Linked DNA regions of Saccharomyces cerevisiae S288C. Each later gene encodes a partner of the first gene's protein in a complex. Each region holds a gene or a part of one and is shown on either strand. Other genes may lie near its edges. The genes, in order: PRE7 and PRE4. A codon is read from its position in the direction of its gene.

Region 1 (17,318 bases):
TAAATTCAGAACAATGAGGCAAAACTTACAGGAAGCGTCTGATGTCCTCGATGATCAAATTGAATCGTTTACTAAGATTATTCAAAATCACTATAAGTTATCTCCAAACGACTTCGCTGATCCAACTATTCAATCTCAGTCCGAAATTTATGCTGTTGGAAGGATAGTTCCAGATTCGCCGACCTACGACAAGTTTTTGAATCCAGAATCGCTTTCCCTAGAGACCTCAAGAATGGGCGGCGTTGGAAGAAGGGTAAGGTTAGATCTATCGCAGGTCAACGAGCTTTCGTTTTTCTTAGGCCAAATTGTGGCATTCAAAGGTAAAAATGCTAATGGGGATTACTTCACCGTTAACTCTATTTTGCCGCTACCTTATCCAAACTCCCCAGTGTCCACATCGCAGGAACTGCAGGAGTTTCAAGCAAATTTGGAAGGTTCTTCTTTGAAGGTTATCGTGACCTGTGGCCCATACTTTGCAAATGATAACTTCTCCCTCGAATTGTTGCAAGAATTTATCGATAGTATAAATAATGAGGTAAAACCTCACGTCTTGATAATGTTTGGCCCATTTATAGATATCACCCATCCTCTGATAGCGAGTGGTAAATTGCCAAATTTTCCCCAGTTCAAGACACAGCCCAAAACATTGGACGAGCTTTTTTTGAAGTTATTTACTCCTATTCTAAAAACCATATCACCACATATCCAAACCGTATTGATACCCTCCACAAAAGATGCAATTTCTAATCACGCCGCATATCCACAAGCTTCTTTAATTAGAAAGGCTTTACAGCTGCCTAAAAGGAACTTCAAATGCATGGCTAATCCTTCATCTTTTCAAATAAATGAGATATACTTCGGTTGCTCAAACGTTGATACATTCAAAGATCTAAAGGAAGTCATAAAAGGCGGTACTACCTCATCAAGATATAGATTAGATCGTGTTTCTGAGCATATTTTACAACAGCGCAGGTATTACCCCATATTTCCAGGTAGTATTCGTACAAGAATAAAACCAAAAGACGTATCTACGAAGAAGGAAACCAATGATATGGAAAGCAAAGAAGAAAAAGTTTATGAACATATATCTGGTGCAGATTTAGACGTGAGTTATCTGGGACTAACAGAGTTTGTTGGTGGGTTCTCGCCTGACATAATGATTATACCCAGTGAATTACAACACTTTGCAAGAGTTGTCCAAAACGTAGTTGTTATAAATCCCGGAAGATTTATTAGAGCAACAGGTAACAGGGGATCCTATGCACAAATTACTGTCCAATGCCCTGATCTTGAAGACGGGAAATTGACGCTTGTTGAAGGTGAAGAGCCAGTTTATCTACACAACGTGTGGAAGCGCGCTAGAGTTGACTTGATTGCTAGTTGATATATTTAATTCAAACTTAACTAATGGAATAGCTCAAGGTAGCACCAAAAAGTATTGTTATACACCTGAACTATCGACCTTGAAACTGGCTCTATAACTTACTTATTGATTAAAGACCATAACATGATCAGTATCCGGGTAATAAAGTAACGTGATCAGAGGCCAGAGAAAATGTTCATAAGTAGAGACTACTCTTAAATGCATAATAAAAAAAAAAACTGATAGGCATCACTCTTTCCTTTTTGACTAAGATTCCAGCATCACATTGCAATATGTCCACTGGTATTACTTATGATGAAGATAGAAAGACACAATTAATTGCCCAATACGAATCTGTAAGGGAAGTTGTGAATGCAGAGGCAAAAAATGTTCATGTTAATGAAAATGCCTCCAAAATTTTATTATTGGTTGTTTCGAAATTGAAACCAGCTAGCGATATACAAATTCTTTACGACCATGGTGTGAGGGAGTTCGGGGAAAACTATGTTCAAGAGTTGATCGAAAAGGCAAAATTACTACCAGACGATATCAAGTGGCACTTTATTGGCGGTTTGCAAACGAATAAATGTAAAGATTTGGCTAAAGTGCCAAATTTATACTCTGTTGAAACAATCGACTCCTTGAAGAAAGCCAAAAAATTAAACGAATCGAGGGCTAAATTTCAACCAGATTGCAACCCAATATTGTGTAATGTTCAAATTAATACCTCCCATGAGGATCAAAAATCGGGCTTGAATAATGAAGCAGAAATATTTGAAGTCATCGACTTCTTCTTATCCGAAGAATGCAAGTATATTAAGTTGAATGGGTTAATGACTATTGGTTCATGGAACGTCTCTCATGAAGATAGCAAAGAAAACAGAGACTTTGCTACGCTGGTTGAGTGGAAGAAGAAGATTGATGCTAAATTTGGTACATCATTGAAATTGTCTATGGGGATGAGTGCTGATTTCAGGGAGGCTATAAGGCAAGGAACAGCGGAAGTCAGAATTGGTACCGACATTTTTGGTGCTAGACCTCCAAAAAATGAAGCTAGAATCATTTAGTAGGTTGAATGAACTGAGATTTTATACGAAGATCTTTTTTTTTATAGCATTACAACACAAAATGAAAATAAATAGAATCTCAAATATATATATATATGTGTGTGTGTGTTTATATATGTACAATGCGGATGATTTTCATTATAGTGAATTTGAGAAAATTTTACTTCGTAAGCACATTCTTTATACATTCGACAATGTACTTCGCCAGGGGACCGGCCGTCGTTGTTTTACAGGTAACATTAACTGTTCCATTTACCTGGTATTGTATCTTCATTAAACAACCGAAGTTTCCCTCACTTTTCGTATGAATAATACCCGAGACAAACAATGTACTACGAACACTGGTCTGATCGACTATATCAAAGCCCAACCTCTTCACTGTTTGCGTCAATAGTAGAAGTCCGTCTTCTAAACTGATTGTTTCAACTTTTCTAAAATCCTTGTTGAGCTTTATGCCAGATTTTTGGTATTCTCCCTCTTTTCCCAAAGCATCGCTCAAAGTCTTCCAACGGCTGATGAACTGTGCCAAATTCAAATGCATGCTAGGATTGACATCGCTGCTAATTAGTGTTGTAGTCATGCCTATGGCAGTTTTCAAATTGATAGTGTTTGTACTACCGCCACATTTGAAATGAATTGCCAAAATTGGACTATCTTCAACGTCGAAAGGTTTTCTTATTGAAACTTCATAGCTTTGCTCTGCCCTTTTATGGGGCCCAATAGTAGCAGTAGAAGGTGTATTAATATTCATAATTAAATACTCAGGATTACCTTGCGTTTTTGAAGGGATAATCTGTGTGGATAATCCCGTGATTTCCCACTCAGTCAGGTTAATGAAGGCAAGAGATATATGAAACACGTATGGCTGTTGTGCATCAGGAGTGGTTATCCGATAGAAAACTTTCATCAAAGATGATGTGAAAAGCACACCCTGCTTATGCGAAATCATTCTTGTGAAACCTTCCCTCCAATTTGGAGCGAGGATCTGCCTTGAATAATAAGAGTCCTTTCCTGAAAAGTCTTCAGATGAACTAATTTTGGAATTTACATCATCAATGGTGTTCCTACGAGATGGTGGGGGCATGGGAACCATGATCGACCTGGAAGAGTTTGCTCTTTTTGATAGTAAGTCAGGCGTGGAGGAGGATGCTTCGGATGGTGTATTTATTAAAGTTGTGCTACCCGCTGATGCCGGCAGTGACCCTAATCTCTTCAATAATGGATTAGATTTGCTGTTAAAAGGCGGCATTGGTTCAAATAAAATTTGCAAAATATCTGTATTTCCGTTCACCTTAGCCAGTTGAATAATGTTGAGATATTCGAAGGATCTTGTTTGCAACTCAATATCAAGAGAGTTCAATTCCAATTGGAAAAATTTGATGACGTTGGAGCCGATCTCAGGTGAGGTCTTGTACAACTTGATCATCGTAGTCAATATCATCGCCTTAGCCACATTTGGTGCACTAAAATATTTCTCGGCAAACAAAGTAAATAAATTTGCGCTTGAAATCCTGTCTGTTATGAGACTTGAGTACTCCCCTAGTAGAAAAGCCGCAGCTTTAATAATAGCTTCAGATGCTTGCTTTTTACATAAATAGTCCACCAACCGTTCACATGTTATTCTATGTAAAGATGGATTGTTCACTACAATTTGACATAGTCGTTGCCAGATCTCATCATCGTTAATAGTTGTATTTGAAGTTAATGATAGCAACTGCAACGAAATAATTACAAACCAATTGATATCCGTGGCATATTTCTCGGTCAAAATAGCTATTTTAACTGCAATATCAGATTTTATTTGCGGTTCAGCAAGATTTTTCGGAGATAAAATATACTGCAGTAAACCGTCCACAATAATCTTAACGTTTTCAACATCAGTAAAGGTATATAACAAGTCAACAACCTTCCTAACAATAGATGAATCTCTTTCTGTGTTCAAAAGATGAAAAATCATATCCAAATTCTTGTAACGAACGGCATCAATTGCAGGTTTCCCGCTTGATGAGCATAATTTGACCAATGAATCTAGCGTTAAATACCGAATATTAATTTCCTTAGATGTTAGCAGGGAACATAAGGCTGTCACAGAATTGCTGATAGCTTCATCCGACGGATCTAGCTTAGAGGCGAAATTGATCAATGAAAACAATACTGTGTTTTGGACGATACGTTCCATGGGATCTTGAGCTTGTCTGGTTCCTAATTCGATGGCAACGGAAACACACTTTCGAAGTTTATTTAGTAATTCATTATCTATGTTGTTGGTTTGTAGTAATGAGCCAGAATCCCTCTCAGTTGGTGAGGCAATCAATATGCTCAACAAAGAGACAACTTTTGTGATAAGCCAAGGATTTGGCATATTCGCGAACGTATATTCTAACGGAAACTGATTGTCACTAGATCTTGAAGTACCAACAACAACACAATTGTACAAAATTTCTGTTAGCTGTGGTAATAGTCTCGTACAGTAACTGGGATCAATGTATTTTGCAATGAATTCTATTAACGGAATCGTAGCTAAAGTTAACCTATAGTTTTCCGTATCATCCAATAAGCTTAATATCCTTTGTATCCATAGTTGCTTACGTTGTAAATCTTCGGTCAGTATAGAATGATTACTTTTCAATAGTGCTAGAAATGACAATGCTGATTTTTTCTTGAGATAAATGGAGGAGGTCGGTGATCTTAATATCTTGAATACTCCTGTTGTGATATCATCGTTGTACGCTAGACGGTTCGTAAGTTCTCCTACTACACCAACAAAATTCAGCGCCAACATTACGAAATTATCATCGGAAGAAGAGAGATCTTTCATCAGTTGATAATTCACCTCATCGTTAACTTTGGCAACAACTTCACTACGTTCATAAAGCAACTCAAGGGTCATATATCCAATGAATTTTTCAGAAAATATGCTGGACTTCAACAGCTCTACCGTTTGCTCCAACCCGAATAAAATTTCATTTAGTTTTGTCGTATTAGAAGTAATATATATATAGGCTAGCTTGGCAACGTACTTCTTTCTTTGATAGCCACCTAATCTGTCGTGATTGCCTTGTTTTTTCTTTGCAGCATCGAAATGCTGTTTAATTTTGACAATTTCAGATTGTATTCTCTTTTCCTGCTCTTGTGCTTGTTGTGCAGAACGAAGATCTGCAATGAATAACTGTAGGCCCTTGATGGTACTGTTATTATTAGAAACACTTGAGTTTATAAGTGTTTTTTTGCGATCCATGGCTTATAAGATTAGTACTATAATAAAGGTTGCGAAATTGGAAACTCGATTGACTAGCAAATTCCAACTGTAACGTTCCTAGTGCTTCTTTGACCCTCAAATATTTCTCAGTGTTTATACCTCAGCTGGATCAAACAAGTGTTTTTTCACGTCGTCATGTGTTTCTTCAGCGCTCACTCCGGGGAAAAACTCCTATTCTTCCGCAGAGAGTATACAGTGCATACTAGAATTAATAAACTCATAGCCATGGCTAGATTACTTGATTGTGAATATCGATATTTTTCAATAGTTATATACATGTATACATGGTGTGTTCAATCCGTTCAACGTCCTCTGAAGAGTTTGTACTGTGGTTCTTGAGACTTTAAAATATTCAAATACTTCTTTGATGGCTTCTTTGCATTTTCATCGTAAAAATTCTTCACTGGGTCGTCTTTAGGATTTTTGAAACTATGTAATCCAACTCTAACCAGAGAATCCAAGGATACAAATTCATATACCCCAGGTAACTTGGTGCCTGCTTTTCTGAAGGCTTCCCGTGCGACTTTTTCATGCAAATCATCACCATTTATTTCGAAAAGGATCTTCCCTGTGGGTACCCTCACCATCCAGTGGTCAAACCCACCTTTACCTTTACCCATTCTTGTTTCGTTACCCTTGATACATACAGCAACGTTTGTACACAAACGCCTCCACAAATGACCATTGTTTAAAGGCCTGACATATCTCATAATTGCGTTATCTGCTTCCTTCAGCTGTTGCGCGGATATCCTAATACCTTCGCTTTTCAGTCGTAATCCGTACTTACCAAATTGCAAAGTGGATCCCTTTATTGAACCACCTGTACGAACTGGCACTCTACCTTTTTGCTTTTTCTGTACGATTTTGAAACGTGGGGCATATTCATGCTTGAATCTCCTAGCAATAGTGGTGTTATTTAAAAAAGCATTGGGGGAACTTTCTTTTAAAGTTAGCCCTCCCATCTTTATGGATAAATTCATTCTTGTTAAATAGGGGAACATGTTGCAAAATTCTATTCCTCTGTACCTCTGGTGAAAGGTAATCAACTTCCCGGCAATATGTACGCTCTACAAGTGGACTGTTAATTGGTAATAATTTCTTCCAAAGAAGTCTTCTTGTTATTTGAGCACCAATATGATATTATTATTTCCACCAGCATTCTTTCGTAATTAGTGATTCAACTGGATACAAAGCCTAGGGTTCTGTTCTTTGACCCTAAGTTTTAGAGTTAGGTTTCTCGTTATTGGTGATAACAAATTTTTTTTTTTTTTTTTTTTTTTTTTTTTTTCAAAATTTTTCACAGCTCATCTCATCGAGAGGAAAAGCATAGAATAAAATTTAGTTAAATGTTAAGTATTTTACAGTATTTGCCATTTTTCTGCCATTCTAAGGTCGAAAAAGTTTCAGGCAGTTTCTCAGTGAATTGGTCAATAGAACAAAAGAAACTTATAGACAGAAAATGAAGTACGTTGTTGTTTCAGGTGGTGTCATTTCGGGTATCGGTAAAGGTGTTCTTGCATCTTCAACTGGTATGCTAATGAAAACCCTCGGTTTAAAGGTTACGTCAATTAAAATTGACCCTTATATGAACATTGATGCAGGTACTATGTCTCCTTTGGAACATGGTGAATGTTTCGTGCTTGACGACGGTGGTGAAACAGATTTGGACTTGGGTAACTACGAGAGATACCTTGGAGTTACTTTGACTAAAGATCATAACATTACTACTGGTAAAATATACTCGCACGTTATTGCTAAGGAAAGAAAAGGTGACTATTTAGGCAAAACCGTGCAAATTGTCCCTCATTTGACCAACGCTATCCAAGATTGGATTGAGCGCGTGGCCAAAATTCCTGTAGATGACACCGGTATGGAACCAGATGTTTGTATCATTGAATTGGGTGGGACAGTTGGTGACATTGAAAGTGCTCCTTTTGTGGAGGCACTAAGACAATTCCAATTTAAAGTTGGAAAGGAAAATTTTGCCTTGATACACGTTTCTCTAGTTCCTGTCATCCACGGTGAACAAAAAACTAAGCCAACTCAAGCTGCCATCAAAGGTTTGAGGTCTCTTGGTTTAGTTCCAGATATGATCGCCTGTAGATGTAGTGAAACTTTGGATAAACCAACAATCGATAAGATTGCCATGTTTTGTCATGTGGGGCCTGAACAGGTGGTTAACGTTCACGATGTTAATTCTACTTATCACGTCCCATTGTTGCTACTGGAACAAAAGATGATTGATTACTTACACGCCAGATTAAAGTTAGATGAAATATCACTTACAGAAGAAGAAAAACAAAGAGGCCTGGAATTATTGTCTAAATGGAAGGCCACAACAGGTAACTTCGATGAATCCATGGAAACAGTGAAGATTGCTTTGGTTGGGAAATACACCAACTTGAAAGATTCTTATCTATCAGTGATAAAAGCATTGGAACATTCATCCATGAAGTGTCGTCGTAAGTTAGACATTAAATGGGTGGAAGCTACTGATTTGGAACCTGAAGCACAAGAAAGCAACAAAACTAAATTTCATGAAGCATGGAACATGGTCAGTACCGCAGACGGTATCTTAATCCCCGGTGGTTTTGGTGTTAGAGGTACTGAAGGTATGGTTTTGGCTGCTAGATGGGCTCGTGAAAATCACATTCCATTCTTAGGGGTTTGCCTGGGTTTACAAATTGCCACCATTGAATTTACACGTAGTGTGTTGGGAAGAAAAGACAGTCATTCGGCAGAATTTTATCCAGACATTGATGAAAAAAATCACGTTGTCGTTTTCATGCCTGAAATTGACAAGGAAACCATGGGGGGCTCAATGAGATTAGGTTTGAGACCAACATTTTTCCAAAATGAAACTGAATGGAGTCAAATCAAGAAGTTATACGGTGACGTCTCCGAAGTCCATGAAAGACACCGTCACCGTTACGAAATCAATCCAAAGATGGTTGATGAATTGGAAAACAACGGGTTGATCTTTGTAGGTAAGGACGACACTGGAAAGCGTTGTGAGATTTTGGAATTAAAGAATCACCCATACTATATTGCTACTCAATATCACCCAGAATACACATCAAAGGTCTTAGATCCATCCAAACCATTTTTGGGTTTAGTTGCTGCTTCCGCTGGTATCCTTCAAGATGTCATTGAAGGTAAGTACGATCTTGAGGCCGGCGAAAACAAATTCAACTTTTAAATCAAAATTTTAGAATTAAAAGTCTACTGCATTAACAAAGATAAATTTCTAATTTTTTTATGTATATTATATTTTTTGGAAGAGAAAATATTTGTAGTGCTTCTCTACACTGTTTTTTTTTTTTCGTTCATGTTGTCTTTCCTCTCCTGAATATATTTAATTTAATAAATCTATCTTATCTGACATATAGAAGCTGTTTCGATAGAGTTTTCGACTGGCCAACAGTTGTTACTGACTGGATAAAAATTTACGATTTTTCCTCCAATCTTGGCTTTCAAAATGAGAAATAAGAGTCTTGAAATTCAAAGAATGTATCTATGTATGAATATAGAATATGCTCAAATATTTAGTTTTGTATAAGGAAGTTCTAAATAATTTTCCATGGCGTGCTTTTACCAAAGTACTGAACAGGGAGATTATTTATCATTTTTTTTCTTACTCTTCGAGTTGAAGTCGATTGTAGGTGATGACATGAACATTAAATAAAATGTACTTGAACAAATCAGACCAGCAAACACCCACATCGCAATGGTACTGGGTTTTCTCGTTATTCTGTGGAAGAATTCAATTACCGGATTATTGTTAAAAAAGCCCATTAGAAGTATCCTAACGATTGATTAAAGTAAATTGTTATTCACGCTACTATCGCAATCGTCCAACTGAACCTTATTCTTTATTGTATATAATCTCTGCCGAGAAATTCTTATACTTATGTATCTGGGAATTCACCAGGTTAGAATACCTTCCCCTCCTCAATTTCTAATTTTTTTTTCTACCCTTATTTTTCTCTCTTGCTTCATCGCTCTCAAAGCTAAAAGCTAATACAGCAAACAAAAGTGTTATTAGGAATTCAATTGAGTCGTGAAAGAAAAATAATATTCGTCTTACTTGAGGACTCACTTTGGTCAATTGAGATTAAAGTGTAGTCTGCACCACTGAATTCCTCGTTTTCCTTTAAAGATCCGGGATGGCTTATCTGCGGTACCCGGACTGAAAACGACGTTTTAGCTAAATATTGAACACGTTAAAAATAAGTTCAAATTTCGAGGCAGATGAATTTGCTGAGGGCACTTGTTCAAGAGTGAGATATACGCGCAAGTTGAGGCATAATCAGTAAGCAATGAATCCGTTTAGAATCTTAGGTATGTTACTATTTGGAGTTTCATGAGGCTTTTCCCGCCGTAGATCGAACCCAATCTTACTAACAGAGAAAGGGCTTTTTCCCGACCATCAAGACAGGTGATTTATCACATCTAACCAGTATACTGATCCTGATTCATAATATCAAGACCACAAGGTACATTGAAGGTATTTCTTTCAAGACCCAAACGTTGTACGCTTTGGTTTTCATAACACGATACTTGGATCTCTTGACTTTTCACTGGGTATCCCTATACAATGCTCTAATGAAAATATTTTTCATTGTATCTACCGCTTACATTGTAGTGCTATTACAAGGGTCTAAAAGAACCAACACCATTGCGTATAATGAAATGCTTATGCATGATACCTTTAAGATCCAGCATTTACTAATTGGGAGTGCTCTAATGAGTGTTTTTTTCCATCACAAGTTCACTTTTCTTGAATTAGCATGGAGTTTTTCTGTATGGTTGGAGAGTGTGGCTATTCTACCTCAATTGTACATGCTATCTAAGGGTGGGAAGACTAGAAGTCTAACTGTTCATTATATTTTTGCCATGGGATTATACAGAGCATTGTATATTCCTAACTGGATTTGGAGGTACAGCACGGAAGATAAAAAATTGGACAAGATTGCCTTCTTCGCGGGACTTTTGCAAACTCTGTTGTACTCTGATTTCTTTTACATTTACTACACTAAAGTCATCAGAGGAAAGGGTTTCAAACTGCCAAAATAAAAAAAAAACCTGTTTTAAATAGTGTTCGCAGCAATATATACAAATTTCAATATATCAATGCTATACCAAAAGAAAAAAAAAATACATAAAATTGATGTTGATATTGGTCTATTTCTTTTTATACTATGATATGTATGCATTAATCTCTTTTTAGCTCATAAAATTCTTTCCTTACACCATCCTTGGTGACAATAAGGATTTCCAGCCCATCACCCACTTGTATATGTCTTTCTGTAGCAGAAGTGAACGAGTCTCTCACCAGTTTGATGACTTCTTCCACGGACAAGTATTTCAAAGGCTTTTTGACTTTACCGTTTGTACCTGGCTCATATTGATTTTTGAAATTAACCTGATTGTCCAAAAATGGCATGATCAATGATGCCGCAGCACCACCTGCTCTACACTGTTCTCTTTCGTAGGAGCCAACTGGGTCGAACGAATAGACAGCGCCCTTACCATCTTCGTCAAGACCCGCAATGATCGTATGAACGTAGTAAGGGAAAAACCTCTTCCCGTACAGAAGATGTTGAATGTTCCTTGCTGCAGAGTTTATAGATAGTTTTTTGTCGTTGTGGTCGAAATGGTACCATTTTACACTATTTTTGAATCTTTTTACTAAAGCGTCGCCGTCTGCTGCAAATCCATTCGCCGACATGACTATGTTATCACCACAATCAAAAACCTTGGGTTCATAACGAGAATTAATTGAGTAATCGGTGATATTTCTTGTATCGCCTGCTAACACTGCGAAATCTTCACCTGCAATGCCCAGGATTGTACCACCATTATCACCGTAAGGATTGAATTGATGTTCAATGGGTGTATTTGACGCCTCCGAAGAGTATTCTGATGCAATAGTGGCCATATTTTGTTTAACTTTATAGTTCAATAGTCTTGGCTACTCTCTTTCCAACTCAGTTCACCTTGTATTATACCGCTTGTTTTTGCCACCCTTTGAGTTTCCTCGATCCTTTAAGTTGGAAAAGATAAAAACAATTATCGCTCCGTACGAACACCAAATCTCTGCGACGCAGAGACGGCAATACAAAATCAGAAAAAAAAAACAATTTATTGCCTATGCTTCACTAGTCACAGGCTCTACGAAACATTGCTATCGCCTCACTGCCTTTACATCACTTAAGCAAGAAGTTTTAAATATTACGGCAATTCCTTTGCAGCAATACCTTTACTTTATTTCGAGAGAAAATAGATCGTAAAATGCCTACTCCAAGCTTTTAAATCAAGACTCAACCAAGCCCCCACACTTATCTTTAGAGACTAATGCCCTAACTCTTTCGACTGAACGGCTTAGAAGTCTCATGTCCTAGCTAGTTTGTCCTTGCGATGGGACACAAACGGCGCTGCCTCTCCTGCGGGCGATCAGAAAGAAGAAAAAGAAATGTGATTGAGCCATGCCACAAAGCGGTATGTGCCATTAATTTCTTTTTTTCTCCCCTTTCGCCTTTGAGTTTCTCCGCGGCGTTCACTGTGGTTGATGCTCGGGATTTGCCGGTTTCGTCCTTATCGCGCCATCTTTGCCATTAAAGGATGCTGCAATAAAACTTGGCGGTTCTCGCTACTGAAACTATTGTGTCAGCCTGGACAACACAGGGACATGTCGTATTTTTGAAAATTTTTGATCAATTCTCCAACGGAAAAGTTTTTCATTTCCTCTCTTGCTCAATTACTCGATGACATGCTATCCTATCTTTTATATAACAGTAGTATTGCTTCGACCTTCTTGTAAAATTTAAAACATAGTATTGGACAGCTTTGCTTTACTTTGCAGCACATTGCGGAAATAAAAGGCGGTAACTAGTCCTCTCATTCATTAATTCTATATAAGAGAAAATGCCGGTATCTGATTCTGGATTCGATAATTCTTCAAAAACAATGAAGGACGACACTATACCGACGGAGGATTACGAAGAAATCACGAAAGAGTCCGAGATGGGTGATGCGACTAAAATTACTTCTAAGATTGATGCTAATGTCATTGAAAAAAAAGATACCGATTCAGAAAACAATATAACCATTGCTCAGGATGACGAAAAGGTGTCTTGGCTGCAAAGAGTTGTCGAGTTTTTTGAGGTTAAGAATGACTCTACCGATTTGGCCGATCATAAGCCCGAAAATCCAATTAGGACATTTAAAGATTTACAGGAGTCCCTCCGTTCGACGTACTTGTACAACACAGATCTGCGGCCCGTGGAGGCAAAAAGAAGAACGTGGACATGGAAGCAGTACATTTTCTTTTGGATTTCTGGGTCCTTTAACGTCAATACATGGCAAATCTCAGCCACTGGGCTACAGTTAGGGCTTAACTGGTGGCAGACTTGGATCTGTATTTGGGTTGGATACACGTTTGTCGCATTTTTCTTGATACTGGGTTCCAAAGTGGGGAACAATTACCATATCTCTTTCCCCATTTCCTCAAGAGTATCATTTGGTATCTACTTCTCCATCTGGATTGTCATCAACCGTGTCGTCATGGCATGTGTCTGGAATTCTACTTTGGCTTATATCGGTAGTCAATGTGTTCAGTTGATGCTAAAGGCTATCTTCGGTACTAATTTGAATACTAGAATCAAAGACACCATAAAGAACCCCAATTTGACGAACTTCGAGTTCATGTGCTTCATGGTCTTCTGGGTCGCATGTTTACCGTTCCTATGGTTTCCACCTGACAAATTGCGTCATATATTTGCACTCAAATCCGCCATCACTCCATTTGCGGCCTTCGGTTTTTTGATTTGGACTCTTTGTAAGGCCAAAGGTCATTTGGCATTGGGTTCCCTAAATGACAATGGTGGCGCAATCAGCAAGACGGTTTTAGCATGGTCTGTCATTAGAGCTATTATGAGTGCTCTGGATAACTTCTCTACTTTAATCCTAAACGCTCCTGACTTCACTAGATTCGGTAAGACCTACAAGTCATCTGTTTACTCGCAATTGATTGCGCTACCCGTCTGCTATGCCATTATTTCCTTAATCGGAATATTGTCTGTCTCCGCAGCTTATACATTGTACGGAGTAAATTATTGGAGTCCCCTAGACATTCTGAACAGGTACTTGGATAACTATACTTCGGGGAACAGAGCCGGTGTATTCTTAATATCTTTCATTTTTGCGTTTGACCAGCTGGGTGCCAACTTGTCTGGTAACTCGATCCCTGCAGGTACCGATCTGACTGCATTATTGCCTAAATTCATCAATATCAGACGCGGTTCTTATATTTGTGCTCTAATATCGTTGGCGATTTGCCCCTGGGATTTATTATCATCATCGTCAAAGTTTACTACGGCACTAGCGGCATATGCAGTTTTCTTAAGTGCTATTGCGGGTGTAATATCAGCCGATTACTTCATTGTCAGAAAGGGTTACGTTAATATTTTCCATTGCTACACCGACAAGCCAGGATCGTACTACATGTACAATAAATATGGTACGAACTGGAGGGCGGTGGTAGCTTATATATTTGGTATTGCTCCTAATTTTGCAGGCTTTTTAGGTTCAGTGGGAGTTTCTGTGCCTATTGGCGCTATGAAAGTTTACTACCTAAACTATTTCGTTGGTTATCTCCTTGCAGCATTGAGTTACTGCATTTTAGTGTATTTTTACCCAATTAAGGGTATTCCAGGCGATGCCAAGATAACTGACCGTAAATGGCTCGAAGAGTGGGTCGAAGTAGAAGAATTCGGAACTGAAAGAGAAGCTTTTGAAGAATATGGCGGCGTTTCCACTGGCTATGAAAAGATACGATATATCTAAACACAATTGTTAACAACGCAAGTAGCACCTTATCATGATAATGTCAAAGCCAAAAAAAAAAAAAAATAATTTACTTATAATCTGCATAGGCCTCATCATATTTGTTGCATACATATAGACATATGCTTCTGCATAATCTCAAATTGTAACCTTTATTTTGTAAAAATAACATTACGCATGCTTGATTAGTTAAAAAAAGTCTTGTTTACCATAGGTCTTCAGTCTCGCACTCCTAATTTAAGCGAGTACGAGCAGCCTGGCCTAACTCATTTCTGTTTTCAAAAAATCCTTCTCACTGCAACGAAATAGCATTTCGTAAAAAAAAAAAAGAAGGTTTGGTTCTCAAGAGAGCTCACGCAAAATTTTTTCTTACGTTCCCGTAGAACTGATACTTGGACAACGCCACTTATCTGAGCAGAACAGGTCTTACCTTAGTCTCTGTAGTCTTATTTTACGTTTGAATTCGTAGTTTTATTGCGCAAAGTACCATATTAAAACTTTACTTTTCGCCTATGCAATAATCTTGTACATATTGAGTTATCGTGGTAAAATAAAAAACCTGTGCCGAACGCCGTTTTGGAGCATGGTATAGAGTTGAAAATGACTAATAAAAGGAACCGTTAATTTACCCATATACTGGGCGAAAACAAAAGGTTCTTTTTTTTTTTTTTTTTTTTTTTTATTTTATTTTATTTTAAACTAAAAACTTTATTTTGAACGTTATGAAGTAAGAATATATATATTTTGCGTTTGGTATTTAGACAAGTGGTGATGCACTAGTTAGTAATAATGATACAACAACAATGAGAAAAAAAAAATAGGATGCAGATGTGAATATGATAATGCAAAACGAAGTTGTGTTATTTCCTTCATTTTAATTTATGCTGTGATAGGACAAGAATGAAATCTCGTTAATGGTACGGAACCATCGTCGACATCGCTACTACTCTCGTTTTCGCTGTCATCTTCTTGTCCATTTACCCGCCGAGAGAGCACACGGAAGATTGGCGCTGAACTATGCAAACTCACAGCATCGAGCGTTTCAGTGTCCTGTTCTTCCTCTGTCGTAGAGGCAGTGGCGGGAAGAGCATTGTAGCGCGGCGTTGATTCGGCAAGTTCATCCGTCTGCTCGGAATGAGAGTTTGTGTGAGTCAAATATTGATAATTAGGTGCGGTGTGAAAACTAAAGTACATGTCAATTTTCTTGTTATAATCACCGCCAGAGTAATCGTACTCAAAATCATAGTCTTCATAATCATCATCGTCTTCACTGTCAGTAGAAGATAGAGTGTCAGCATCTGGATCTTCGTCACTAGAGTAAAAATCACAGTAATCTTCACTTTCTATCGTCTTTTCTGCATTTTCCTCCTTACCGACGTCATTTTTACTAGCATTAGCATTGGACAATTCGATATGTTCGATGGACAAGTTTTCAGGTCCTTTACTGAAAGGGTCTCCGGCAAGGGCGTTGGTTGCAGCATTATGAGTTTCCACATTTTCTGTAATCTTATCCAGCAAGTTTGCGTGCCCGACTAAAACTCTCAGGTTGTAGTCTTTGTTTTTAGTAGTCACGCTAACGCATTTTGCCAGCTTGGAGCGTACTTTGCTGGCCAAAATATATTGATCTTGAATCGATGGGGTTGTAGAGTTCATTATAATCGCAGTATGCGGAATTTTCTATGTGAGAAAAACAATAAATAATTGTGAAAAAACTTGGATGTATAGTGTAATACTATAAAAAATTTCTGCTGGTATGTAGCTGTCTTTTTATTTTTTCTTTGGTCATACAGGGCTGTAAGCAGAGAAAGTCGAACAAAGACGTAACACCAGAGAAAGAAACTTGAATGCTTTTGTTAGATATATATATATATATTTATACATATGCCTCTCGCTAGAGGATATATCGCCGCGGAGCGCAGCGAACTACATCCGAAAACATCACAAATAATGCATGGGCAACCGGATACATTGCATTTAGTTTTGCCTTTTTTTCCAATTGTCACAGCTTCCTCGAAGTTTCTGACCCGGTAAAACGTGCGAAATGCCTCTTCTAATGCCGAAACAAGGGAAACCCTTAAAGCTTCCGTGCAAGCTGACCATGCCGGTCCGCACTTCGGGTCTTGTCCGTCGCCCGTGATCCAATAGGATACAACTACAAATCTGGGGTAAAGTCCGACTTTCGGCCCGCCGTGCGTTACTGCATGTTACATCACTATGGTGGGGACGGAAAATCACAGATGAGTCAGCTTCGTGATTTCCTGTTTCGGTGATGCTTGCAGTATACTTCAAATACTTCGCTTTACTTGGCAACCTTTTTTTTTGCCTCTCTAGCATTTCACCCATACCCACCAGGGGGAAAAAGAAAAGAGAGATTTTAAAACCAGATATTCTTTTTCACGATTTACATAACCCGGACTGGGTAGGGTAACATGTATATGAACTTTAACTGTGACCCGGACAGCACGCTTTCTGCACCAATGAAATGCCAATAAATTAACAGTGTTTTTTGTCCTCCAGAAGTTCAAGGGCCCGCGCTGTCAGCTGCACCAAATAAAAACCAAACAAGAAAATTAAAGGCCTACAGCGCTCCCTAACCGATATTCCCCTACTCTCTTTCCCCGTCTTATTCGAGGAAAACAGCGTATAATAAAGCAATAGCTTTCACAGAAAAAATATTATATCATCCCTGTTCGTATAGGTAACGAATCCTAATATTAAATTGCTACCATTGCTGATCAAGACAATTGTGGAGTAATAATACGAGAAGAACATCATCGTCACC
Region 2 (8,642 bases), on another chromosome or scaffold:
TTTTCACAGACGATCAACTCCTACTTGTCTAGTTTCCAAGACCAAGAGATTTTTCACAATGCCTTTGAGATCTTGTCCTCGTTCGACGAAATCGTGTCAATGGGCGGGTACAAAGAGAACTTGTCCTTTACTCAAGTGCAAACATACTTGTCTATGGAGTCGCACGAAGAAAGAATCCAGGAAATTATTGAGCGTAATAAAGAGATCGAAGCTACTGAGGAGAGGAAGCGCCGTGCTAAGGAAATTGCTAGAAAAGAACATGAAAGGAAACACGGGTTTATGTCTTCAAATGGCGATTACGACGGCGCCAATAGGTTCATGGGAAGTAAAGATCCTAACGTTACAAACGCCATCAACAGTTACTACTCCCATGCTTCTCCTGCAGCACAACAGTCTTATCTACAAAGTTCCCATGCCGCTGCTGCTGAGGTGGCCCCAGTGGCCTCCCCAATGGCTACGTCTCAGCGTGCGGGACATTCTGCTACTGGCGGTATGAAATTGGGTGGTGGTGCCGGAAGAAGAGCGGGTGCCGCACCACGGCCAAGTGCAATTTCTTCAGCCTCTTCTGGCACTCCACCTCCTCCGGAGGAGGATGTCCCAGAGAACAATGGTATTTTGATCTCTATCAAGGAGGTAATCAATGCAGAATTCTCCAGAGATGGTACCATTCACTCTTCTGAATTGAAAGGTGTTTTAGAACTAAGAATTAATGACCATGACTTATCTCACTCGAACCTAAAACTAGCTGATTCTATTGACGTTCGCGATAAATCCTTCCAGTTTAAGACCCATCCAAACATAGATAAACAATCGTTCCTATCCACTAAACTTATCTCCCTGCGTGATAAATCTAAGGCTTTCCCAGCCAACGACCAAAGCCTGGGTGTTCTAAGATGGCGTAAAGTCGCTCCCGCAGAAGATGACTCATTAATTCCATTAACTCTAACTACATGGGTTTCCCCCTCCGAATCACAACAGGGCTTTGATGTCATTATTGAGTATGAGAGCGTCCTGGAAACAGAACTCGCTGATGTGATCTTCACCATTCCAGTTTTCCCTCAGGAGCCAGTAGACATAAATACAGAGTCTTCTACATGCTCTGACGCTGAAGTTGTCAACATGGACCAAGAAATGGGAACCTCCATTAAGATTAGCAAAATTGCTGCCAACGATGCAGGTGCGCTAGCATTCACTATCGAAGCTCCATATGAAGATGCATTGTACCCAATGACCGTTTCCTTCCAAGAGTCCACGAGGGATAAATTAGCTAAGAGTTTCACCGGTATGGCCATACAATCTGTTGTCATGGCCAATGACCACGATCAAGAGCTCCCTTACGACGTCATCACCTCTTTGAAATCAGATGAATATCTTGTCCAATAGTACGTTACATTCACATATAAAATACTTAAGTTATATACACAAACTAAATAAATAAAAATCGAGGTATCTTTTCTTTCGTCCTTCTATATATATAGTTTAACTTACTCTTATTCTTTATTATTTTTCCTTTTAGGGTTACCCGTCAATCCTTTTTATTAAAGATGTTCCAGCTTCTTGGTTTAGAATTTGCCACCTTAAATACGTACCCACATAGTAAAGTACAGCTAAGTTAAGAAAGGGGATAAGCAGCAGGAATCCTTCATCTTCCGCCGAAAACAACATAAAAACCCACACGAATGAATCACGATCCTTTCAGTTGGGGCAGGCCCGCAGACTCTACTTATGGTGCTTACAATACACAAATTGCGAACGCAGGCGCCTCTCCCATGGTTAATACACAGCAACCAATAGTAACAGGTACTTCCGTCATATCAATGAAATATGATAATGGGGTTATCATTGCAGCAGATAATTTAGGTTCATATGGCTCTCTTCTAAGATTCAATGGCGTGGAGAGGCTTATTCCCGTGGGTGATAACACCGTTGTGGGCATTTCAGGTGATATTTCTGATATGCAACACATTGAGAGATTATTGAAAGATCTAGTCACTGAAAATGCGTATGACAATCCTCTAGCGGATGCTGAAGAAGCGCTCGAACCCAGCTATATTTTTGAATATCTAGCTACCGTCATGTACCAGCGAAGATCAAAGATGAATCCACTTTGGAATGCCATCATTGTTGCTGGTGTACAGTCTAATGGTGATCAATTCCTAAGATACGTAAATCTTCTAGGTGTTACGTATTCGTCTCCCACCTTGGCCACAGGTTTTGGGGCACACATGGCAAACCCACTGTTAAGGAAAGTTGTAGATCGAGAATCTGATATTCCAAAGACCACTGTACAGGTTGCTGAAGAGGCGATCGTAAATGCAATGAGAGTTCTTTATTATAGAGATGCCCGTTCTTCTAGAAACTTCTCACTGGCCATAATTGATAAGAACACAGGTTTAACTTTCAAGAAAAACTTGCAAGTTGAAAACATGAAATGGGACTTCGCCAAGGATATTAAAGGCTACGGTACTCAAAAAATTTAGAAGAGTTTTATCCCACCTTCATTAAATACTCATTTTATTTTTATTTTTCAATTCATAATATCATCACTCTTCTCTCTTCCTAAGTAACTACGTTTTTACATAGATATAATGATATGTGTAAAGAAACTATAAAATAACAAAAAAAAATCATAATATTACTGCATCTATCCTTCACCATGCACCACCGCTATTTATGCTCTCCAATTCATGCTCGTTAATAGGTTTGTACCGAAACCTAGCAGGTAGCTCGAAAATGGAAGCAAGCTCATCTTTTTGCAATGGCCTGTTAACGAATACAGAGGTCTTTGACGAGCTGAGACCAGCATTAGCGCTATGCTTTATTGGCACTACACGGAATGGTTTATAATTTTCCATGAATTTACTCACTGGAATACACTCTTTGCTGCCAGGTAACATTCCGTTGGTAGCGCAAGGATGAACAACGACCTCAGTTGCATGCTTCACTAAGGGATGCCTTGTACCGACGAATTTTATCATCGGCTCATATGCACTCTTTGCTAATCTTATAGGTGTAGCAATCATTTCCCTGTCTTCTTGTACTTTTATCTTACTCTTATTATCGGTTAAAAACCTGGGGAAGTACTCCTTAATGGTTTGCTTTAAAGAATTCAATGCGGCTAGAAATGAAAAAGACTTTTAAGATCACTGAAACACTGCAATCTGGCTAAAATATTAGTCTTCACTATCGTCTTTTTCTCCTTTGTTGATGCGAAAGATGAATTTACATATTCGAGTCCCTTAGTCATATTATTGTACTTTTAATGCAATCTTGAGGGGAGCCAATCAACGAGTGGTTTTACTTGCACGTGACCAAGAATGGTAATAACGGTGAAATATATGACTAAAAACCTTGATAACTAAATATATCATTAATTTATTTTTAATGCCGTCTAGAAGGGTGTATGAATATCTATGTAGAAGTATGACGATGAATAATTACATAACGAACGAAAATCTCTGTTAATGAAAATATAACTCCAAATAAAATGACAAGAATAAACCACCATGTAACACGAGCCATGTTTCTTTCAGCAACAGAGTCAACGCATATATCAAAGAATTCCAAGAAAACTTTGCAACGATCATTTAATACTTGTACTCTTTGGTCAATTTCTAAATACTCCCTCATTGCCACGTACAGTGGATGCAAACTTGGTTCGAACGACCAAAAAAACTCGGGTGTATCCAATATGGTGGATGAAAGGTTAACATCCACTCTCAATTTAAAGAGCTTCCCTGATTTTTTCAAAAGCTGTTCCCTTTTTAACCCAAGGGTACCATATAATGCTAGTCTTTTAGGTAGTTTTGTGACTGATATTAAAATCGGCGAAATTCTGGATTCAAACCTTGATAATTTCGAAGATTGCGCAATCGCATGTGATAGTGTCAGCTCGATAATGTGGTCACCTGAACGTAATGTGACAATATCATTGAAAATTCTCGGTCTCTCGGTATCTCTGTCATATTCGAAATGGAATTGTTCAGTTTCAATATCTTGTTCATCCAGCGGCCGGATCATTAAATTCTTATAATCTGCAAATGTTATATCACCAAGAATATTTTTCTCTTGAATTTCAGTAAAGTTCCAAAAAACAATAACGCCATAGTGAAAAATGAAAATTTCTGCATGTCTATCATTGCCTTCATGGTCGTTGTCCCTATGCATTTTATATACACGATCAAAATCATTCTGTGATGAAGATGGTGGCGATGGCGTAGATATTGATGATGGCGAAGCTGGTGAACGAGAGGACTGTACATACTGATCGTTTCCCTCAACAGCATAAAGTTTACTCTTATCATTATTTTTATTATTATTATCGTTGCCACAACTTGCATCACTGTCGTTTTCCTCCTTCTTCAGCATGTTTATTCTTTCTGTCCTTTCCCGTTTCTCTATCTCTAAGGGAGTTTCTTCCGCAAAAAATTGTGGTTCCATAGGATTAAAAGAGTCTTGCTGACCAACTGGATTTGGTAGATGATCGGGAACTGTTGTGGTGTCTTGATTAGCGTTATTGTTATTTCCACTGGTTTCTAGTTCGTAATTATTATTTGCATCTTCCACAGTTTCCACACCTGAGTAATATTCATAATGATGATCTCTCTGTTCGCTTGTATCAATTAAATTATCAATTAATGTCTTTCCACCCATTGTTTTCTTAGATAAATTTGATTTGATTCTAAAACCGCCTTTACCTGGTAGAAGTGGCAAAGTATACGCAACGTATAGACACTCATCATACAATCTTGGTGAAACCTCATGAGTTTCCTGCAGAAACTTATACAATTGGTTGAGATTGAAGCCATCAGCAACATTATATGCGGTGATTCTTGCCATGGACTTTTCTTTTGAGTATCGAGGTAGCCGATCGAAGGAATTAGACTTCATAGAGCCCACTTTCGGTCTTTGCCTATCCAGCGCGTTCGTTGGTAGAGTTTGAAAGTGGTTCAAGTTGTCGTCTTCCGGTATCAACACTAACTTTTGTGACGTCTTCGATGTTCTTGGAGGCAGGGGATTGATCATCTTTCTACGCGAACTTAACCGCTCATATTGGCGAGGCCTATCGCTTGAAGAGCTGGATAGCCTTTCCTCTCTTCTGGCAGAGGGAATATCTGAATTATCAGAAAGAATATTATCTATGGATATATCGCTAAACCTGCCAGACGATCGCCTTCTTGGATGAGTAAAACTCTGCAGCGGAGAAGGGCCAATAGCGGAAGAGCGAACTCCTTGAGACTTCGTAACTCCTGCGTTTTCCATATTCTTCCTACTACCAGCAGCGTGTCCAGCGAACGGTGCACTCATTCTATTCTTGGATGTTCTTGCATCTGTCACCAGGATGGAAGGTGACCTTTTCGGCATCTCCCCAGGAGATGGTTGGTTAGCCTTATAACTCATACTGTCGTCTTAAATGGAAGTCCTTTCCTTTGCTCCATATGCAATTTTGCATACGAACTTCCGATTGATATAATCTTGTATTAATGTATGCCTAACCTGGTTTTGTTTTTCTTGTAGGTTTTTCTAGCCAGTTTTACTATAAATTGTCACTTTTTCCTAGTAGTCAATTTGAAAAAAAAAAAAATATATGGGTAATTATAATAACAAGAAGTGTTCTTCTGATTGTCGGAGATGCCTCTAATGCCAATGCACAGGCTTCCATAAAGTTTTCAAGCATGACAGAAAGCTAACTTGTCTTTTACTTCTTTGTTGGGCACACTTCTCATTTTTAAAAAAAAGATTTCCACCTTCACGATCATATCTGAAATGAACTGAATATTTTGTTCTTGTGAGAATAAACTTGTCTACTAATCGCAAATTTTTCAAGATTAACCTTCCGCACCCATTGAGGTACTAAACTGATCTACCCTACCTTTCCTAAATACCTAATGTCAGGTACATAATGCCAGCGACAGCTCAAAATCACGGGATACTAATTATTAAATAGTAGTAGCTTCTTCTCCACGCACAGTTCGATCGAAGGAGCTAATATTCGGCTTGTCATCTTCCATGGCCAGTAATTTTTTTTATTGTCATTTGGGACTAATGAGATGGAAACTAGAATTGTAGTTATACATCCTGAGGTTTCTATCAACTTGTGTGTCACAACGTTTTATATACTTGAATGCGTAGTAGCAAACCCCGGCAAGACGTAAGTTAACTTGTCAAAGGTACAAGCTTGGTTACAAACAATGTGATATTTCGCTCCAGGATATTTTTGCTTTTGGTGACGCCGGTTGGTTGAAGAGCCCCCATTTATCATGACTCCTACCGCAGTTTTCGTATATCTTGGGCCATAAATTCGAAAATTAAAGACACCACTTAATAACGCAACAAAAAGAACGCAATCCTCAGAAAGAACACACACCAAAAAAAAAAAATGCCTGTTTATGAACACTTATTGCCCGTTAATGGAGCATGGAGACAAGACGTCACCAATTGGCTGAGCGAGGACGTTCCTTCTTTTGATTTTGGTGGATATGTTGTTGGTTCCGACCTAAAGGAGGCCAATTTGTACTGTAAGCAGGATGGTATGCTGTGTGGTGTCCCCTTTGCGCAAGAAGTCTTTAATCAGTGCGAATTGCAAGTTGAGTGGTTGTTTAAGGAAGGCTCCTTCTTGGAGCCTTCGAAGAATGACTCTGGTAAGATTGTTGTAGCTAAAATTACTGGGCCCGCTAAAAACATTCTATTAGCTGAAAGAACCGCCTTGAACATCCTTAGTAGAAGTAGTGGAATTGCCACCGCCTCACATAAGATAATCAGTTTGGCGCGTTCGACTGGTTACAAGGGGACCATTGCGGGGACAAGAAAGACTACACCAGGTTTACGTAGATTAGAAAAGTATTCCATGCTTGTAGGTGGCTGCGACACGCACAGATACGACCTTTCCTCTATGGTCATGCTCAAAGATAATCATATTTGGGCTACTGGTTCTATAACAAACGCAGTTAAGAACGCCAGGGCCGTGTGCGGGTTTGCTGTGAAGATCGAAGTGGAGTGTTTGAGTGAAGATGAAGCCACAGAGGCCATTGAAGCTGGTGCAGACGTTATCATGTTGGATAATTTCAAAGGTGACGGTTTGAAAATGTGCGCCCAAAGTCTTAAGAACAAATGGAATGGTAAAAAGCATTTCCTCTTGGAATGTAGTGGAGGCTTGAATTTGGACAACCTCGAGGAGTATTTGTGCGATGACATTGACATTTACAGCACTAGTAGCATTCATCAAGGCACACCAGTGATTGATTTCTCATTGAAACTGGCTCATTGAAAATGCTTAGGCTTCGATTTTTACTTTTTTTTATTTACATATTCTAAATAAGATTAAGAAGCTACGCGTTACCGATTAATGACACACACGACGATTAGTAACGAAATAAGAAATGAATAATGAGCACTCCCAGGAAGGCCGCCGGTAACAACGAGAATACAGAAGTCTCAGAGATCAGAACCCCCTTTCGGGAGAGAGCCCTTGAAGAACAACGTCTCAAGGATGAGGTACTGATCAGAAATACGCCAGGTTATAGAAAACTTTTATCTGCTTCTACTAAGTCTCATGACATCCTCAATAAAGATCCGAACGAAGTACGAAGTTTTTTACAAGACTTAAGCCAAGTGTTAGCACGCAAATCACAAGGCAACGATACAACTACTAATAAAACTCAAGCACGGAATCTAATAGATGAATTAGCGTACGAAGAGAGCCAACCAGAGGAGAATGAGCTTCTTCGGAGCAGAAGTGAGAAACTGACAGATAACAACATTGGCAATGAAACGCAACCTGATTATACTTCCTTATCGCAAACAGTATTTGCAAAATTGCAGGAAAGAGACAAAGGCTTGAAAAGTAGGAAGATTGACCCGATAATAATACAAGATGTTCCCACGACAGGACACGAGGATGAATTGACAGTGCACTCTCCAGATAAAGCTAACAGTATCTCTATGGAAGTTTTGCGCACGTCGCCAAGCATTGGAATGGATCAGGTAGATGAACCGCCAGTACGTGATCCGGTACCAATTTCCATAACGCAACAGGAAGAACCACTATCTGAAGATTTACCAAGCGACGATAAAGAGGAGACAGAAGAAGCAGAAAACGAAGATTATTCGTTTGAAAACACCAGTGACGAAAATTTGGATGATATAGGCAACGATCCTATCCGTTTAAATGTCCCTGCGGTGAGACGTTCTTCTATAAAACCGCTGCAAATAATGGATCTAAAACATCTTACAAGGCAATTTTTGAATGAGAATAGGATAATATTGCCGAAACAAACGTGGTCTACTATACAGGAGGAATCTTTAAATATAATGGATTTCTTGAAACAAAAAATCGGCACGTTACAAAAACAGGAATTGGTAGATTCGTTTATCGATATGGGTATTATCAATAACGTTGATGATATGTTTGAGCTCGCGCACGAATTGCTTCCCTTAGAACTTCAATCAAGAATTGAAAGTTATTTGTTCTAAAAAAGATACCGTAGAGAAAATAATTAAATAGTGGCAATTTATGTACAGAAAAGAGTAAAAGATCCACAAAATTATCAAGACCTGGAAGAGAAGCCTAGTAACAAACTAACCTGTTCATAAACAGTGAACGTTAAGCCTCCTGAAATACCGACTTTCATAAACCTAAAGAT

Evidence for each region.
Region 2: the proteins of PRE7 (region 1) and PRE4 are in contact, whole or in part, in a crystal structure (PDB 4V7O), measured with the Saccharomyces cerevisiae proteins. Residues at the interface, in NP_009512.1 of Saccharomyces cerevisiae: Gln20 (codon at 11,573), Phe21 (codon at 11,570), Asn22 (codon at 11,567), Pro23 (codon at 11,564), Tyr24 (codon at 11,561), Asn27 (codon at 11,552), Asn48 (codon at 11,489), Ser53 (codon at 11,474), Ile54 (codon at 11,471), Asn55 (codon at 11,468), Ser56 (codon at 11,465), Arg57 (codon at 11,462), Tyr58 (codon at 11,459), Glu59 (codon at 11,456), Phe76 (codon at 11,405), Ala78 (codon at 11,399), Asp79 (codon at 11,396), Asp81 (codon at 11,390), Ala82 (codon at 11,387), Lys85 (codon at 11,378), Lys119 (codon at 11,276), Phe122 (codon at 11,267), Tyr124 (codon at 11,261), Glu237 (codon at 10,922), Arg240 (codon at 10,913); in NP_116708.1 of Saccharomyces cerevisiae: Thr34 (codon at 1,779), Glu127 (codon at 2,058), Thr131 (codon at 2,070), Tyr134 (codon at 2,079), Arg137 (codon at 2,088), Ser138 (codon at 2,091), Met140 (codon at 2,097), Pro142 (codon at 2,103), Trp144 (codon at 2,109), Arg161 (codon at 2,160), Leu165 (codon at 2,172), Leu166 (codon at 2,175), Gly167 (codon at 2,178), Val168 (codon at 2,181), Thr169 (codon at 2,184), Tyr170 (codon at 2,187), Ser171 (codon at 2,190), Ser172 (codon at 2,193), Thr174 (codon at 2,199), Leu175 (codon at 2,202), Ala181 (codon at 2,220), His182 (codon at 2,223), Arg189 (codon at 2,244), Asp193 (codon at 2,256), Arg194 (codon at 2,259).

The regions. Positions count from the first base shown.
Region 1 is NC_001134.8:135,559-152,876, reverse strand, and holds PRE7 (proteasome core particle subunit beta 6), read right to left. Parts: upstream 11,631-17,318; coding exon 10,905-11,630; downstream 1-10,904. Other genes in the region: DNA-directed DNA polymerase alpha subunit POL12, read left to right, coding at 1-1,384; YBL036C (pyridoxal phosphate homeostasis protein), read left to right, coding at 1,657-2,430; APL3 (Apl3p), read right to left, coding at 2,591-5,668; mitochondrial 54S ribosomal protein uL16m MRPL16, read right to left, coding at 5,992-6,690; CTP synthase URA7, read left to right, coding at 7,149-8,888; MIN6 (Min6p), read right to left, coding at 9,305-9,484; ERD2 (Erd2p), read left to right, coding at 10,009-10,030, 10,128-10,765; FUI1 (uridine permease), read left to right, coding at 12,617-14,536; ECM13 (Ecm13p), read right to left, coding at 15,416-16,189; YBL044W (uncharacterized protein), read right to left, coding at 16,511-16,879. UniProt on the Saccharomyces cerevisiae protein: Non-catalytic component of the proteasome which degrades poly-ubiquitinated proteins in the cytoplasm and in the nucleus. It is essential for the regulated turnover of proteins and for the removal of misfolded proteins.
Region 2 is NC_001138.5:242,904-251,545, reverse strand, and holds PRE4 (proteasome core particle subunit beta 7), read left to right. Parts: upstream 1-1,679; coding exon 1,680-2,480; downstream 2,481-8,642. Other genes in the region: RET2 (coatomer subunit delta), read left to right, coding at 1-1,383; alpha-ketoglutarate dehydrogenase subunit KGD4, read right to left, coding at 2,652-3,023; RMD8 (Rmd8p), read right to left, coding at 3,412-5,400; BNA6 (nicotinate-nucleotide diphosphorylase (carboxylating)), read left to right, coding at 6,380-7,267; centromere-binding protein CNN1, read left to right, coding at 7,387-8,472; MRX20 (Mrx20p), read right to left, coding at 8,547-8,642. UniProt on the Saccharomyces cerevisiae protein: Non-catalytic component of the proteasome which degrades poly-ubiquitinated proteins in the cytoplasm and in the nucleus. It is essential for the regulated turnover of proteins and for the removal of misfolded proteins.